2 linked regions of the Daphnia pulex genome follow. The protein of the gene in region 1 purifies or fractionates together with the protein of each later gene. This does not show direct contact. Links are inferred from orthologs where the notes say so. Each region holds a gene or a part of one and is shown on either strand. Other genes may lie near its edges.

Region 1 (7,998 bases):
CAAGATAGAAGGAAACAAGCGAAGCTCTTCTTCTTCTCCTCCGCCCACTTCACTCGGCCGTCAATTCGCAACCGAGCCTAGCCTAGGTAACTCAACTCGGAGGAGTCGGAAAACCTCTGGCTGGAAACAATCTAGGCACAGCGGGGTGACAACAGACGCAGCTGAATCAACAAAGGGCGCAATAGCGTAATCACTGGACCATACTCTTTGCCTGATACCCAAAGAACCTACGACGATCCTCAGATGCGCAATAGAAACACCCAAAAAACAACGCCAAAAAGTACCGAAAACGAGAAAAAATAAAGCGAGGGTCGAGGAGAGAGAGATACAGAAAAGAAAAAAAAGGGAAGAAGGCAGGGCTGCAGGAAGATAGAAGAGCTGGCACAAAACAAAGAACCCGATCCATCAAGCGCTCGTCGGCATGGGGCCCAACTTGTGACAAATCGAGTAAAAATACAACTCCATCGAGGAGAGAGAAAGTACGACAAGGAACGACAACACAAGGCCACTGTAGTGCATCGCTCACACCAGTCAACTCTCCTACACTACAGAAATGAAACACACACATACCTGACAAAGGATCTCCACTTGTCGATCACTTCCTTGGCGATGACGTAAATTTCGCCATTTTGTACCGCAAAAGGATCCGGACGGTTTTTAGATCGAAACAGATCCTGAAGCAACGATTTTTGTTCCATGGCCAACAGTCGGTTCGACTCCTTGGTCTGACCTTCTTGTTCCGCCATTCTCTGTCGTGAGGAATTCAAGAATTAAAATAATGCAAGCAACCGGCAATGGTGTCCTTTCAATATTTACAATGCACTTTTCGCAGGGGGGTTCAGATGAGGAAAATTCAATGGCTTCGGGAAAGTGACGATGTAGTATTTCCCAAACAGCCGAATGGATCAGCCTACGTGGTCCTTCATCGGCAGTTAGTTTATCTAGAATCAAATAAAACGTCTTTGATCAATTCACTGTTAGCGGATGGAATTTGATATGAACATACCGTGAGGGCATAATAGGTCTTCATTGAATCCTATTTCTCCTACAGAAGACGCAGACGAGGGCCTGTTTTCCCATTCCAACGTTTTTTCAAACTCAACTTGCCACTCGCTTCGATCTGGTTGCCGATCAAAACGTTCCGAAACAATCGAACGGCTTCCATTATACTGCCCGTTGCTTCGCTTTCTTTCCATCTGGTAAAAAATGGCGTTATGTTACACATTTGATCGGCTTTTTTAAAAGACGGATAGTCTACCTTATGTTTCGATGTGATGGGCAGATCGGAAATGGTTGCTTCTTCGATTTGATTGGTAGCACTATCGACGCCATTTTTTACTTTCATCGATTCCCGTTCAGAATTCACCATCCGCTCGAGCACCATTTTCTTCCAGGAGCGTAAAGATTCCTTGCCGATCCAGAATGCGGGTTGGTTTCTGCGAATAACGAATAACAATTGATTAGAAAGGCACCATCAGAAAAAGAGTTTTTAAAGTTCATTACGGATCGATTTTGCTTTTCAGCAGATTTGCAATCAATTTGCTTTCGTTGTCCAGTTGAGACCGAAGTTGACTCGTGATGCATTTAGTCGTAACGCAGTCCCAGCACAGGTCGTTGATGTTCAGACGTCTGCCACCAGAATATTCGGCGTACAACTCGTCAGCCTTTGAGGAAAGTCAATAGGAAATGTTAAGTTTTGATAATCGATAATCAAAGTTACCGCGACAAACTCATTTACCGCGCTGGAAGAAACGAGTTTGTATTCTCGGAATTTCTCTGGGTTCAGTTTGCCGTGCTCACAGAGTAAAATGGAATTGTCAATTGGTCTTAACTTCTCGTCATTTCCCAGCCAACTCGACAGCCACTGGGTAGGTATAAATTCACCTTGATCCAGCGAGTTGCACGGAAGACTGCCGTATAAACGTCTCATTTTGGAATGCTTCTCTCTACTCTTCTTCAAACTTTCGTCCTAGTGAGAAAATGCATTAGCTTTACAATCAATAGAAAAAACATGAAAATGAGAATGTTTAATGATTTACTTTCCGAGAGACTGTGTCCCGGGTCCAGGCTTCGAAGTTTTCATTTTCGTTAAAGATAGTAGTTTGAACCCAGGGAGGCAGAACAGAACAGGGATCTGACAGCGATGGGGTTGTAGAGCAAGCAGGAACGCTTTCTGGTTTGGCAGCATCCCGTCGACTATACACGAGCATGTATGCGTTGCTGGAACCATGACTCCCTTTAGTAACTTTGGCACCAGCTCGACCTTTTTTAGAATCTTGCAAATGAAATGTAAAAGACGGAAAAATTTAGCTTTAATTACTTCCAAACACACACAGTGATACATTACCTTCCAAGTCTTCTTCGATTCCCAATTTGAAATTGGTGCCCTCAATCTTTTGCACAACTTCGTCGTTAAACTTGTACCAAGTTCCAGTTACTGGGTCCTTAATGTGTGCTGCAAAATAAAAAGTAGACGTCAAGGAAATAAATATTGACTAGAATCAGGATAATGAAAAGCTTCTCACCTATATAATGCCCGCTGTAGGCGCTGGGTCCTCGGTGAATTAATACGGCCGAAAGGTCGTAAGTAAGACTGCTAGGTTCCACACCCTGAGTTTTGACGTAGTTTGACATTTCGACGACAAAAGGAAAATGCACCATGGAACTGACTTTCTTCTTCAGTCCAGTTTTCCTACATTGGCAAGAAATGTGAATATTAAAAAAAACGTCGTCATGCTTTCTAGAGATTCTTTAATCAATGTCGGTACCGATCAAAAACGAATCGCAAGAGTTGAATGTTGAGCATGGCGGGCAAGTGACGAAGGCGAATGCTCCGCGTCGCATTCTGTTTGCTACTGCAGTTTTCACAAAAGTACTGGTCTGTCCCTTCTAGTTTTTCTTCATGCAAAAACTCGGCAAGACATTCGTCCAACGTAACGTCGCTCTTACTACCAAGGCTCAAGTCCAACTCGTAGAAAGCTGAAGGACTTGATGACTCCTTTTGGCATTTTGAACACCTAGAAATTTGTAGAAATCCATTCTTTATATTTAACAATTCTATATGGTTGTACAAGAACCAAATTACCTTGTTACATATTCATATTCTCCTCTGAACTGATCATAAACCATGGTAGAAACTGTCGTGTCTGTTTGGAGTGAGAGTTTGTCTTCTAACAGGTTAAGAAACAATTTAGAAAATTCTTGGGCATCTTGCTGGGTGGTGGTGTCAATCCCGAGTGAGGTGATCAGTGATGTTGGGTTAACACAACTGGAAAAAAAAGAGTCAGTTTGAAAATCACATTTGGTAAACGGAACATTGAAGATACCTTCTTTTAGAAAATTGCATTTGAGCAAACAGCAGTTGTAGTTTACCCACTGGGGAATTTGGAATGAAACCCCCCATTCCTAGCAGGTCAAGAGTTTTGTTTTCTTTCTCTGATGGATCAAAGAATGGAACCCAGGAGTAGATTGCTTTACGAAATATGGGGTTGTGGAACCAGAGCTGCAGGAGGCTATTGATATAGCAAGTTGCTCCCAGATTGGTCAGCCCAACGAAATTGCCCTCTTTCCGCACAATGTCACAAGGGTCCTCTTGTTCTTCTTCAGTCACCTTCAAATCTTCCAACCATACCTTCTCTCCTAGTCCAACAAGGCACCGGGGGTTTATTTTGCAGTTTTTCCTTCAAATGAGAGGAAGCATTATTTTTTCTTTTCTGGTCTGGGAGTACAGAAGTAAGTTCGGTAAGTTCTAGCAAGATGAATACTTACTTGCATTTTCCAGGTTTGCAAGTGGCAACTTTTAGCCTGTACGAAGTCTGAATATGATCAATTGTTATGGCTCCAGCTTCTGTGCTTTCAACCCACTGCCATGCTTCTTTGGAAGCCTGGTCCATTTTAGACATGACCTAGGCTGAAAAGGTAAACAGTTGGGCAACTCACATGTTGGATGAAAACATTTTAGCGTGAACAAACCATGAAACGAAGAGTAAAGGTCTAATGAAAGCTACAAAACCAGCCTTTCAACAATTTTTAATAAGGAAATAAACAATGTCAAATTGAACAATCAACCCAAAACACCGGGTTTTTAGGAGGAACGAAGCATAAAATTGTTCACTTCATTTCCTTCGCTAATCTGCTGCCATCTATTACCTAAGCGGCAAATCACGATGCACGAATAAACAATAACAAGCAGACGACGAACGGCCTCGTGCAGTGTTCGACGAAAATGATTTTGAAAGACATTTTAACTCAGCCTCCCGTTTCTACTCTAATTCAAGGTTAATTGGATATTTTTGACAACATAATCCTTATTACAATTTTTTTTTTAATCCTTAGATTCGTGTTCACTTAAAGGACGACCTTTGTTCTTAAGTTTAATTCGTCACTATTCCGAGAATGGCTATTCCATTCGTTACTTCAAATACGATTCACCTCTATCTTCTGAAATTACCGAAATGGAACAATTAAAAATTTCGTGGAAAACATCCATTGTGGATGGGAATCAAGATTTAATGTCAGTCGAAAATTCTTGGACATCAGAAGCGAGAAATGACCAGGTTTTGGTTGCGATAGACTCGCTGTCACCCCTGCTTCTGAATTGGACTGTTGGGGCAATTGCGTCAGCCTTGAGGAATTTACAAAAGACAAGTAAGATTGTGCAACCTGTGTAATTTTACAGCTTTATATAAACTCTATTTGAAATGGTTTCTAGCAACAGTATCTGTGATTGCCCTAGTTCATGGTGATGTCCATGATAAGCACACTCTGCAAGCACTGAATTACATATTCCCTTGTCACCTGGCTGTTCGCAGAGCACAGGGACGCAACCTCTGCAGTGGCACATGGAGGAAAGCCAGTGGAAAAATTACTGATAGTGTAAAGAGTACTTGTTTCTCGTGTAGCAAAAATTTAAATTTGAATTATTTTTTTTTTGCACAGGATGAATATTACAGCATCACAGATAAATGGGAGTTGAAAGATGTCAAAGAGTTTATTGAAACTCAACCTGCAGTTATGCCAGACTCTTTACCAAAAAGTGCAGTACCAAAGTCAACTTTCAAATTAGATTTGAATGCCAGAGAAGAACAGGCTAGGAGTCAGGTCGTTTTACCTTACATCAAGTAACATCGACATACATCTCCATTTCAACACAATCTAATATTAAGCGCTAATTTTTGATAAATTTAGAAAGCACAACGAGTCATCAAGCGAACCGTCCAGGGGTAAAATCATTTACGAAGTGGAAGCACCCGATTGGGACGACGAAGACCCTGACGACGATCTCGAAATCTAAACAATTCACTTGGTATTAAATTTCAATAAAAAAAGTTCAACTTGAATTTAAATCAGTGTAATTTCATTTGTCACGTTTTATTCTTGTGGCATCCAAAAATTGCCATATGCCTTTTTAGTTTTATTTTCTCTTTTATTATATCTTGTCTTGTTAAAAGTTTCTGTCATGGCTGACGCAACAAGAGATATATAGAGAGCAAGAAAATGAATGGACGGCACGTCAAGCGTACTAATCCCATATATAATCAAATAATTCAGGTTAAAGAAGGTCGTTATGTAAATCACTGTACTACACAATATTTTTGTTTGTTTTTTTCACGGGAGGAAACATGTTTTCAGAACATTACAAAATGGCGAAAGTGCGTGCGAATGGGCCAACGACGGGCAGACGATCGTGCCGCGCCATAAGAGAGCCATGATTTTTTGTTTTGAATGTACACTTTTTGTTTTTGGTAAAAAATAAAAATTATCATCACAGCTTTTAAGGGTGGTGGTGGTAGGGGTGGGGGGGGGGTGGAGGAACCCGACCGACGCGACGCACTACTATTTTCATCTGTACACAATCAACACGAACAGAAAAACATTTACATTGAACATTTTTTTTTTTTTGTTTGAATGAAAAAGAAAAGAAAAAAATGAAAAGTCATTTGATGTCATTCGAAACAACAAATTCCCGCCATCAACGGACATTTTTTTTTACTTTCTCCTTTTTTCTTAAACTTTTTTTAAAAATAGAATTTTCTGATTTATTATTTAGAATTTCCCCATGCAAAACGTCAATATTCTTTCTTTTGACTGCCACACCGTTTCATTTTTTCACGGGCTGGAAACGTCTCCATCCGCTCGGATGGCAGACGAGGGGGCCTCGAGTGGCTGCGAATCAGTTAGTGGCGGTGGCGACAAACTGTTGTTGATGATGGTGGCGCAGGCCATTTCTGATCTGCGACACAATTCCGGCGAGCTGGTCCTGATGCGCTCGCTGCGCATCCACGTCTTGAGACTGCGGTCCACGTTGAGATCCTCGTCGCTAATCAAGGGCTGGAGACGGTCCCAGGCCGACCAGCGTGGAGCCGGAATGACGTTTCTCTCATCACTTTTGTCGGCCAGCCAGCGGATCCGCACCTTTGGCAAGCAAATCGTATCAAACTCCTGGAACACACGTTGGGCAAAAGGGATCGACGACGAGTGGAATGGGAACCGAGTTGAAAAAATCACCTTGTCGAAATCGCGAGTGCCGCCGACCGTGTGGCGCCGCTTGAGCCCAGACTCGCCGCTCCGTTGGACGAATTTCTTGGCCGTTTTCTGGCCGCCCGTCTGCCTCATTTCCCGCTCGCGCGCTTTCGTGTTGCTCTCCGTCTTCTCGTTCTTGGTCAACGAGTCGGAGCGCTTGACGCCCTTGCCAACGACCTCGGCGCTTTTCGACTCGCGTCTCACGCTCGGCTGTTTGCTGTTGGCTCGATCGGCCAGCTCCGTTTCCTGGACAATTTTGAAAATGAATTTAACATTTTAAAATTTAATCCAATCCATTCGACTCGGGGGAACTTGCCTTGAGTCCGCCTCTGGGCTGGTCGGAAATGTTGACAGCTTCGTCCAGGTTTGATTCCAGTAAACGCTTTGACTGCTCACCATCTGTAGGAAATGCAATTAAAATTAATTCCTCCTGCCCATTAAATTTCAAATTGGAAATGGTACCGGTCGTTGTCGCAGCCTTTTTCGTCTCTTCCGTTTTGTTCAAACTGGCGATGCTGGCCTTCTTGGTCGGACTCGTCTCGGCGCTCTTGAGACGCGCATTGCCTTTGACGGGCAGGATTCTACTGGGCGACTGCGGTTGCATCTGCCCCGCCGACAGTTGACGGATGACTTTAGGAGCCTGGAGCTCTCCGACGCTCATCTTCTTGCCGGCCGGCGGCACCGCGCTTTTGCCCAGCTCCACCGTCTTGGCTCGGCCGACGACGGCCATCGACGATCGGCTCCTGACGGCCGACGAGGATGAAATCGACATCGTTGATTTGGTTGGTGAAATTTTGGCCGAGTCGACGGCCGCCACTTTGGTCGGGGCTGGATCGTTGGCCGACTTGTTGGCGGTGGCAGAGGGTTTGGGGATTTGAGATCGACCGACAGCTCCGGCTACTCCGGCAACAATTGTCGTCTGTTGTTTGACTGTTGTTGTTGTTGTTGTTGCGGTGGTTTTGTTGGCAGCGACGATTCGGCCGGCAGAAGATTTGACGACAACGGCATTGCCCACTTGCAACTCGACGGCCGGTTTCTCGTCCAGCTTTTCTTCGGCGACTGGGACATTGTCTTGCTCCTTTTGAACGGCGGGCAATACTTGGACAGCTTCCGGCTCCTTCTCCTATTGTTTTAAAATGAATAACCAAAATTTGAAATGAGAAAAATCTAAAAATTGAGAAATGGCGAACGACGTACGTTGATGGGTCGAGGTAGAAGTTTTTCATCGGCGCCACCATTTTCCATCACAACGGCAACAGGAAGTGGATCCACTCGTGTTTTAGGCTGCTCCGCCTGCTGCTGCTGCGGTTGTTGTTGTTGTTGTTGTTCCGGTTGGTTGTCTTTGTCTTTGTGGGATGCGTCCGCCGTCGAATCGGCCACTTCTGGTGGGAGGAGAAAGACGAAAAAGAATCAACATGACATTCTTAGATGTTTTCGCGTGTTCGACATTCAATTCAAACCATGCGGATTTGACAT
Region 2 (8,016 bases), on another chromosome or scaffold:
TCGACTGTTTTATACTACTTTTGATCAAGGAATGGTGATAAAAAAAAGATTGAAACATTTATTTTTGTAACTGTATGTCAAAAAAGTATTCAACGACTTTGCTCTCGCCAAGGTCCTAGAATACGAAACGTCTGAATACTTTTTTCATTTGTACACGGATCAGACCTGAAGTAAACAAACACTGACTTGTTTACCCACACGCAGTTGGGCAGATAACAGAGTTGCAATGCTATCATGTTTTCGTGAGTTGAAAATGTGAAATAACAACAATATGGTACGGCTAAGGGACGTGTTTACCCAGTGTCACATTCTGGGTTTTGTAGTTATTTACGTCTAAGTTCAGGCGATTAGTAGTAAGGTAGTATATTTTTATTCGTCTTATTTAAGCGCGTTAACACTGACAAGTAAAAATATGTCTTTTATACTCTCATATGTTTCCTTTTTTAGCTAGAAGATTTCAATTTTCAAAGTTTGAAATAAAATAAAAAGAATCCGATCATTTTGATTTTGCAGATAAACAACTGAATCAGTGTATTAGTAAACTACTGTAGAGCCCCTAAAGCTCATTTTCGTGTGTTCTAGGAAAGCGCCAAAAGCCTATGTCACATTTAACCAATAGTTGTACTTTCATGGATTGCAACTTGGAGGTTTTCGTAGGACACAACGAATGTGCTGGGATCGCTAGGAAAATATCCGCCGTATCCAGCACCATTCAGACGGTCAAAAGTAACTTCGAATCGGGGATCCCTCTCGAAAGATAAATGAGCGATGAAATCATCTCTTCTATTGTCAAAAAACTGGTCGGCAAAGGTAGCCCATCGACGATTCAAATTTGCGGATAGAATATCAGTGGACACGTCGGCGTTCGTGTAATATTCGTTACCTCTCAGGGGAGACTTCCAACTTGCAAATGTGATTTTTCCTAATATCAAATTGATTACGTTAACTTGTGCCCAAATTTATCCACTTGAAAATGTTGATTTTGTATACCAGTGGTGAGATCAATCGAGTCGTCCTGAGTTAGGTAGTGGGCTGAAACCCCCGTGTAAAAAGTATTCTGAGATGGAACAACCACCGTGTTGGTAACATCAGCAAAAAACACGCCTCCACTAGTACCGATAACCTATTTGTCAATTGCTGTAAAATCTTTTGAACAGAAACTGAAACTACAAGATGTTTTCCATCATACAGTTCCGACAGGTTTTGTGTACAAATCCGTGACGACAAGGCCCATATCTTCATCCACACCAAAGCCTCGAGGAGTTCCGATATCACGGCCCTTGGTATCCTGCAACAACCTGTTGGAATTTTTTTAAATATAAAGGTAAGATGATTTTTATATTTAGTAGCTAGAGACCAACCGAATGAGGCGACCTTCTCGACCACGCTCGCTGAAATGCGTATCAGTTACCCAGCCAGCGTCTAGTAAACCTAGTCCACCCTTTTCATCGTAAGTTAGGTCATTTGAACGAAGTGGTTTAGGTCCTCCACTGAAAGCCCCATAAGTCAAAGCATCCCAACTAGCGCCACTTGTGATCATGACAGCCGAGCTCTAAAATTCAGTTATACAAATTTCATTCTTTAAATGAAGTAGGGGTCAAAATGTTAAATCGAATACTTGGCAAGCGGTCCCGGCACTGGTTCCTCCCACTACTGCGCCAGCTTTTAGCATATCTTTGACAGCAGTTAGAACTAGCGTGTCTCTGCCGTTAGGACGAAGGGCTGTAAGAATCCTCAGTTGATCGCCTCCACCGAAGAAAAATCCAGTTTGTTGTCTTGCCAGTTCGGCTACGGATGGGTCGTCGGCATTGTTACTAGTTTCAGTAACTGGAATATACGTCGCGCTGGCCGCCCCGTACACGTTCACGAACATATCAACATAGTACTCAGCCGCTCCTATGGGATCTGAAGATGCCGTAGTGAATATCCCGATCTTGGCCACACCTTTCCCTCCCTTGAAAGGAAATTAGAAATTAATTATAAAATTATAGACATGCACATACTGTACTCTTGTGAATTAGAATTTGTTATTCGTACCGCAAGCGTGACCACTTTGTTCCAAATTTCGGCATTTCCGTCGGTTAGGCCGCCTCCAACTAGCACTAGGCTCTGAGAGGAAACAAGGCCCAAAAATGTTGCCGTTAGAATATTTAATAATAATAGTTTCATCGCGAACATAAAACGCACTACTGAACGTTTAGGTCGTTAGTTCCCTACTGCAGATTATATCCCCTAAATGTTGGGTTGCGTGAATAATATTTGACAAGACAAGAGATAGTAGGCTAATGGAGATAATCAATTTGACGTCAAACTAGTTGCATAAAAATAAAATAAACAAAAAACATTCGAGTTTGTACGAGTTTGTACTCGATGTTTAGTTCATATACAGTCAACGAGAAATCAATTCGTGATTATTTCAACATGGAGAAGGCGCAATAAGTTTCGATTTTCTTTGCTTTAATCGAATCATGTTGCTACACGTCTATGAATATTGTACCTCCACTTAAGTTTAGAGGCCTGTTGACTGTTGAGGATATGTAATCATTTGAAAGGAATACGGACACAGTGACGTTTGCAGATGTGTAAATATTACAACGTTAAGCAAGTTTACTTTTGTGTTGCCTCTTGCTGTCTAATCATCAGTAGGTAAACATGACAAAAAAGCGAAAGAAAGATATGAAGTGAAACGAATGAAAACGAATTTTTGTTTGTTTTATTAATTTTAATTTTTTTTCACTACAATTTGCAGTGACAATTTGAGGAAATAATGCCACGCCCCTGCTCATTTCATCAGAGCCTCTTGAGAAATCACAGACCAGAAACAGATCTCCGGTAGAAATTTGAATAAGGTAGGTGGTTAGTAAATCGTTATTCATTGTAGACATGAAACACTGATATGATAGTTTAGACTTATCCATCAAAATCCGATTTTATTCCCAACATACTGTAGCGACATTCATTTTGACAATAATTTATTGTTTTTTTAAAGAACAATAAGTTATACAGTAGTTTTTCCTGATACTGCTTGGATTAGAAAAACAAAAGAATATCATATTTTCAGAATTCCGGATCAATTTCTTTCTATTTAGTTTAGGAGGATATAAAAGTAATCGCATTAAAAATCAGAACAAGGTGATGTCTGGCGAGTGGCGACAGATCTAATATCAATACAGAAACGCTAGACAAACTCAAATAAGGGTACGAAGTTGATCTCTTGCCTTCAAGACAGTCTGTGGGCAAGCAAAAAAAAAACACAGCGAAACCAAAAGTCACGTGAAATAAAACGAACAGAGTAGAAATAAAACGAAAGTTTGGAGGGGTAGGGATTCCACGTTGGATGAGACCGTCTATGAAATGCAATTAACGCGTTGGATTTCTTTATTGTCGACACATTTTTATGTAGATAATTTCCCTGTTATTATGCACATTTTCAGTAACTATGACTTCACGATGGATTACACACTCCCATTTTCCTGTAGCAACTGAGCGGACTCTTGTTTAACGATTGTTTCAGATTGGTTAACTAGATCGTCATTTTGTTTTTCTTCTTTTAAATTCGTGATTTCATCTCCAGTTTCTTCAACTTTGACAGAGTCCACCTCCGCATCTTGTTTACTACCTTCCCCACTAGCGTTGGCGGAGTTGTTGGTTTGGCAAGGAATTGGCTTCTCTTGGTTTTTGTCTTTTGTTTTCTTGGCCTTAGGCTCGGCTTTATTTTCCGGGTGTGAAAGTCGTTTGCGTGTTGTACTGACTGCACGAGCCCCGAGTGTCCACTCTCGTTTTGTAAATTCTTCCTGCCACATTTCCTTTTCACTTAGCGGTTGACGGGTAGGATCACATTTGGGATCGTAAGGCAACCAAGGGGTGTTCAATTCTTTGAGCAGTAACTTCATCACGTCATCCACATAAGTATTGATGACCAGATCGGCTTTCTTGTCCTAAGAAACCAATAAAAAAAAGAGGAAATTCAAAATGAACGGCTAAATAAGTATATTTTATAATGAATTACCCATTTTGTAGGCTGCAAATTTATGATGACGAGACGGCCTCCTTTACGTTTCGTTGCTAATGGTAGTGTACCACTGGGGACTATTTGCAAAGTTGTTCCCAAGCAAATACTTAAGTCTGCGACACTTTTAGTTTCAAAATTAAATTAGTGAAACTCTTCATAGTTATTCAACCAATCCAAATGACTAACTTTGAATGAATGTCTGCCAATCCTAAATCTCTGGTTGGTAGTTCGTGTTCCCAATCAAGTATAGTGTCGTGTAGCTTTCCTCTACATGAAAGTTTGCCTCCTTTCAAGGCAGGGCAATCAACTGGTAATTCCCGCTGACCTACAGAAGTTACGGCTTTTCGGCGAATGTACTGCCTGTAAAGCAATATCGATTGTTATAAACACATGGCCATGCCCAAGTTTGTTTTCTTGTTCCTTACCTAGAACACAGGCTACATTGTCCGATGAACATATTGCCATGCAGCTCTGAGAGTTTTGTTCTGTCTAATCCTGATTTTAAATGAAGGCCATCAATATTTTGGCTAACAACATAGTGCAGATAGTTTGTTTGGAATAATGAAATAATCGCCATATGTGTGAATGTTGGTTCTGCATCATCAAACGAAACATTGATTTGTGGTTTCAGGCCTTTTTTCTCCAACGTCCACACACCTTTAGGGCCCCTGTAAAAAAAGTAGATATAAACTCTAATTACAGTAAAACTAGATATGGGTTTTTGTGTGAATATGTAAGAAGAATACTTGTAAAAACAGTATGCATGATCCCTATTGTATTTTGCATAGTGTTTAGTGAATTTGACCATAGTCTTTTATTGGTATACCTGAAATCGGGGATTCCTGCTGGTGTACTTATGCCAGCACCAGTGTGCATGACTACATGCTTAGCTTCTTTTATCCATTTGGCTAAAATTAAAATTTTTCCAGCAACCTCATCCAAACTGTCAAATTTCTGTTAATGACAGAACATTTCTTATTAGTAGGCGGAAAAATCACATCAATAACTAAGAAATTTATGAAATATGATAATACCTCAGGTATTCCTAATTTACCCTTGTCTTCGTACGGCGATAACCCATCAGCATAATTGCAAGACATGTTTTATATGTAACAAACTTCACTTTGTTTTTTTGTGATTTTAATGAAGCTAGTAAACGTCAACAATTCCCGTACTAACACAAACAAACTAGCGGCCGTCATTCAAGTCAAACTACACAGGGGCACCAATTTTCTAATAAATAAATATATTGAAATTTTACTTCCACGTAAAATGGGAAAATTATTTGTATTTAAATAAGAATAAAATAAGAGAAGCTTGAAAATTTGAAAATGCGTAATACTTTTTTAAATGCTGCTTTCTAAGTAACACCTGCCCCTGCCTAGATGAGCGCGTGTCAAAATTTTTCAAAATTAAAACTTGACTTCAACTTCGCAAATCGCAACCCGCAAAGTTACATTCGTAAATTTCTGTAACTCGTTTCTAGAGATTTACAAATAACGAGCATTTCCTGTATGAACAATTAATAAAAGTTAAAACAGATTTTTTTAGTATGCTGCACAATGGAAATAGCATTTGTAATATATTTGACTCTGTGATACAATCAGAATACAACACCAAACTTGCCCGGGGAAAACGTTAACGACACGGTAATACTGAGAAATCACTTGGTTTACACGGTAAACTACATGGAATCCTAGTGCCTGTAAGCTAACTGTAACTCTAAGCATAATGCAGTCTGGGTTTTCAATTATGATTCCTTAACTGATCGTAAGAAACAAATAAATTACCAACATATGTATGACTAGTGGGTAGAAGTGTAGTATGTGTCGTGTTGGCTAAAGGCTACGTCTACAGTAACAGTTTTTACAGACAAGTTACGGTCGTAATTCGGTTTCAACCGAATCTGTAAGTCTGTATGTCTGTAAAAACTGCTAGTGGCGACGCACCAAAAAGTTAAGTTAAAAAGGAGAAGGTCGATTTCATTTAAATCACAATCACTGACAGGAACAAACTAGAGAACGTTCGGAAAGCCCTGAAATTTTTATACAAATCAGCAAGAGTTTTGTCAGGATTAGTCGAAGAGCTTTTTACTTAGTCAAGAACATGTAAACTTACTAGAAACTTGTCGGGATTAATTTTCCTTGGGTGATTCCATTTGTCGGTGAATAATGGATAAATCTTCCAAGATTTTGTCTTTTTTATCAGTTATTTGTAGAACAGCCAAGCAACCTCCAAAATATTCGGAAGTAAAGCAATCCTTTCTGCAAAGATAAATAAATTGCGGTAATTTTTTTTTCGGAAGTATATGTTGTTAACCAAGTACTATAAAATCTATAAGCTTATGCGAATTCATTACCGGCACCCGCGATAAATTTCCGGTTGTCGATAAAGGTTGTAGCAGTTCAAACATATTTGATTAAATTGGGCATAAATATTCATGTCATAAACACCTTCACATTTACTAATTTCAGTAAACGAGTGCTTAGAAAGTGGATGCGGAAAAATTGAAATTCCGGGTGGTTGCTCCGCCAAAATTAAAGATGCCATGATTAGTAAAACTACCAGCCTAGTTTTAGCCGATTTGTTAAGAAGTTGAAAAGCCATTGCAGATTTTAAAGCAGCGCAATATCTGGTAACATACAGTCAGCATTAACTAATAAATAATTTTTAAAAATTTCTTAGCCGAATGAAATCAAATCTGTACATTACCTTTGATAGTGATCAGTTGGAGAACTCTTCCGTCAACAAGATTCCAAAACGTTCTACCGTGGATGTGAGTATTCATTCCAGCTTTTATAGCGTCTCAGAAATGCAACTCAAAATGAATGATGGGTTACACAAATTGTTAGTTAATTATATGATTACCGGAAAGCACGGTTTGGTGCCTCCTTAAACTTTTGTTCATTACATCCCTTGCGCTTGTATCTGCATTAGTCTACTAAATGTGAATGTTGTGGACCATGAATACAAATTTAAAATGAGGCGCACCGTTTAGTGATTATTTTGATCGTGGACGTCATTACGTACATTGAATGCGGACAATTTTATTGTACGGATTCAATGAAGAAATTTCAAAACAACATAATTGTTTTTTATATGCTTGTACAGAACCAGTTAAAGGGTAAACGCATAAATACCGGTAAATTGACGTACTCTATTTTGCAACCCCACTCTCCTCCCAGCATGAGCAATTTTTCAGAATCTAACAGTAGTTACTAACTTACTACCTGTGGAGCTTCTAACCATAATCATGAGATTGTTAAGAACCCTCGGTTAATAATATTTTAACGAAATACTAAAATTTGACTAAGATTTTTTTTTAAATTACTCACTGTATTACATCTAACATAAGACTTTCTTCTGCAGGTAGGGCCTATGCAACATGTCAATCTTCAATGTTTTATTCCCTTCTTGTCATTTTATTAATGTAGGCCTTTAATCAGTGGGAGTCTACCTGGAACCCTAAGTCGCCTAAGTCCCTAAGCATGCCTTTATAAGAATCAAGTTTTCCGCGGTGTGTTGCGTTGTCGTAAATTGAAATTTTTTGGCGTTCTACAGTTGTAGTTGTACTCGCCAGGTGGTGTGTATTGCATTGACGACCGGTTCTTTTGACTGGCAATCCAAGGATGACGTTTGTCTAGAGGTTTTCGAATAATTTTATATAAATCGGAATTTGGTGTATGAGTTTTTCATATTATATCCTAAGTATTTCTACCAAAATGAAGATCACGTTGTTTTTCGTAAGAATTACTCTATATTAAAATCTATTTCGTTTTGTAGTCTAATGAGTGTTTTATTCATGAAAGGTATTTTGCATGTTGTTCTTCAGCTGTTGTGGGAAAAAAGCCGGTCAGAAATCCACCCTCGACGAGGTTTCAGACTTGAAAGAATTCAAAAAGCTTTTGAAGACACGGACAAGTGTTTTAGTTTGCTTCACCAAATCGTTGAAAGATTCATCAAATGTGATCAAGCAATTAGCTGAAGTTGCCGATATTGTTCGT

What was found. Proteins that work in one complex are often made in the same cells at the same time.
Region 2: the proteins of ubiquitin carboxyl-terminal hydrolase 48-like (region 1) and NAD-dependent protein deacetylase Sirt6-like purify together in Homo sapiens (affinity purification with mass spectrometry; 3 studies listed by BioGRID, with this or other methods). This does not show direct contact. The link is inferred for Daphnia pulex from reciprocal best matches to the Homo sapiens genes USP48 and SIRT6.

What each region holds. Positions count from the first base shown.
Region 1 is NC_060018.1:12,844,233-12,852,230, forward strand, and holds the start of ubiquitin carboxyl-terminal hydrolase 48-like, read right to left. Parts: upstream 4,161-7,998; 5' UTR 3,973-4,160; intron 3,911-3,972; 5' UTR 3,903-3,910; coding exon 3,769-3,902; intron 3,681-3,768; coding exon 3,327-3,680; intron 3,269-3,326; coding exon 3,086-3,268; intron 3,018-3,085; coding exon 2,769-3,017; intron 2,693-2,768; coding exon 2,526-2,692; intron 2,456-2,525; coding exon 2,348-2,455; intron 2,276-2,347; coding exon 2,040-2,275; intron 1,970-2,039; coding exon 1,739-1,969; intron 1,665-1,738; coding exon 1,504-1,664; intron 1,437-1,503; coding exon 1,259-1,436; intron 1,197-1,258; coding exon 1,007-1,196; intron 942-1,006; coding exon 817-941; intron 750-816; coding exon 571-749; intron 1-570. Other genes in the region: elongator complex protein 5-like, read left to right, coding at 4,226-4,277, 4,336-4,647, 4,712-5,120, 5,188-5,293; rho GTPase-activating protein 21-like, read right to left, coding at 6,109-6,414, 6,508-6,768, 6,839-6,921, 6,985-7,645, 7,720-7,904.
Region 2 is NC_060017.1:7,950,998-7,959,013, forward strand, and holds NAD-dependent protein deacetylase Sirt6-like, read right to left. Parts: upstream 5,230-8,016; 5' UTR 5,113-5,229; coding exon 5,047-5,112; intron 4,967-5,046; coding exon 4,839-4,966; intron 4,681-4,838; coding exon 4,438-4,680; intron 4,373-4,437; coding exon 4,199-4,372; intron 4,134-4,198; coding exon 4,010-4,133; intron 3,939-4,009; coding exon 3,456-3,938; 3' UTR 2,956-3,455; downstream 1-2,955. Other genes in the region: cyanophycinase-like, read right to left, coding at 609-922, 991-1,123, 1,190-1,298, 1,362-1,552, 1,619-1,954, 2,038-2,178; ion transport peptide-like, read right to left, coding at 5,560-5,771, 6,152-6,276, 6,372-6,619; protein disulfide-isomerase A5-like, read left to right, coding at 7,696-7,755, 7,822-8,016. UniProt on the Homo sapiens protein: NAD-dependent protein deacetylase, deacylase and mono-ADP-ribosyltransferase that plays an essential role in DNA damage repair, telomere maintenance, metabolic homeostasis, inflammation, tumorigenesis and aging.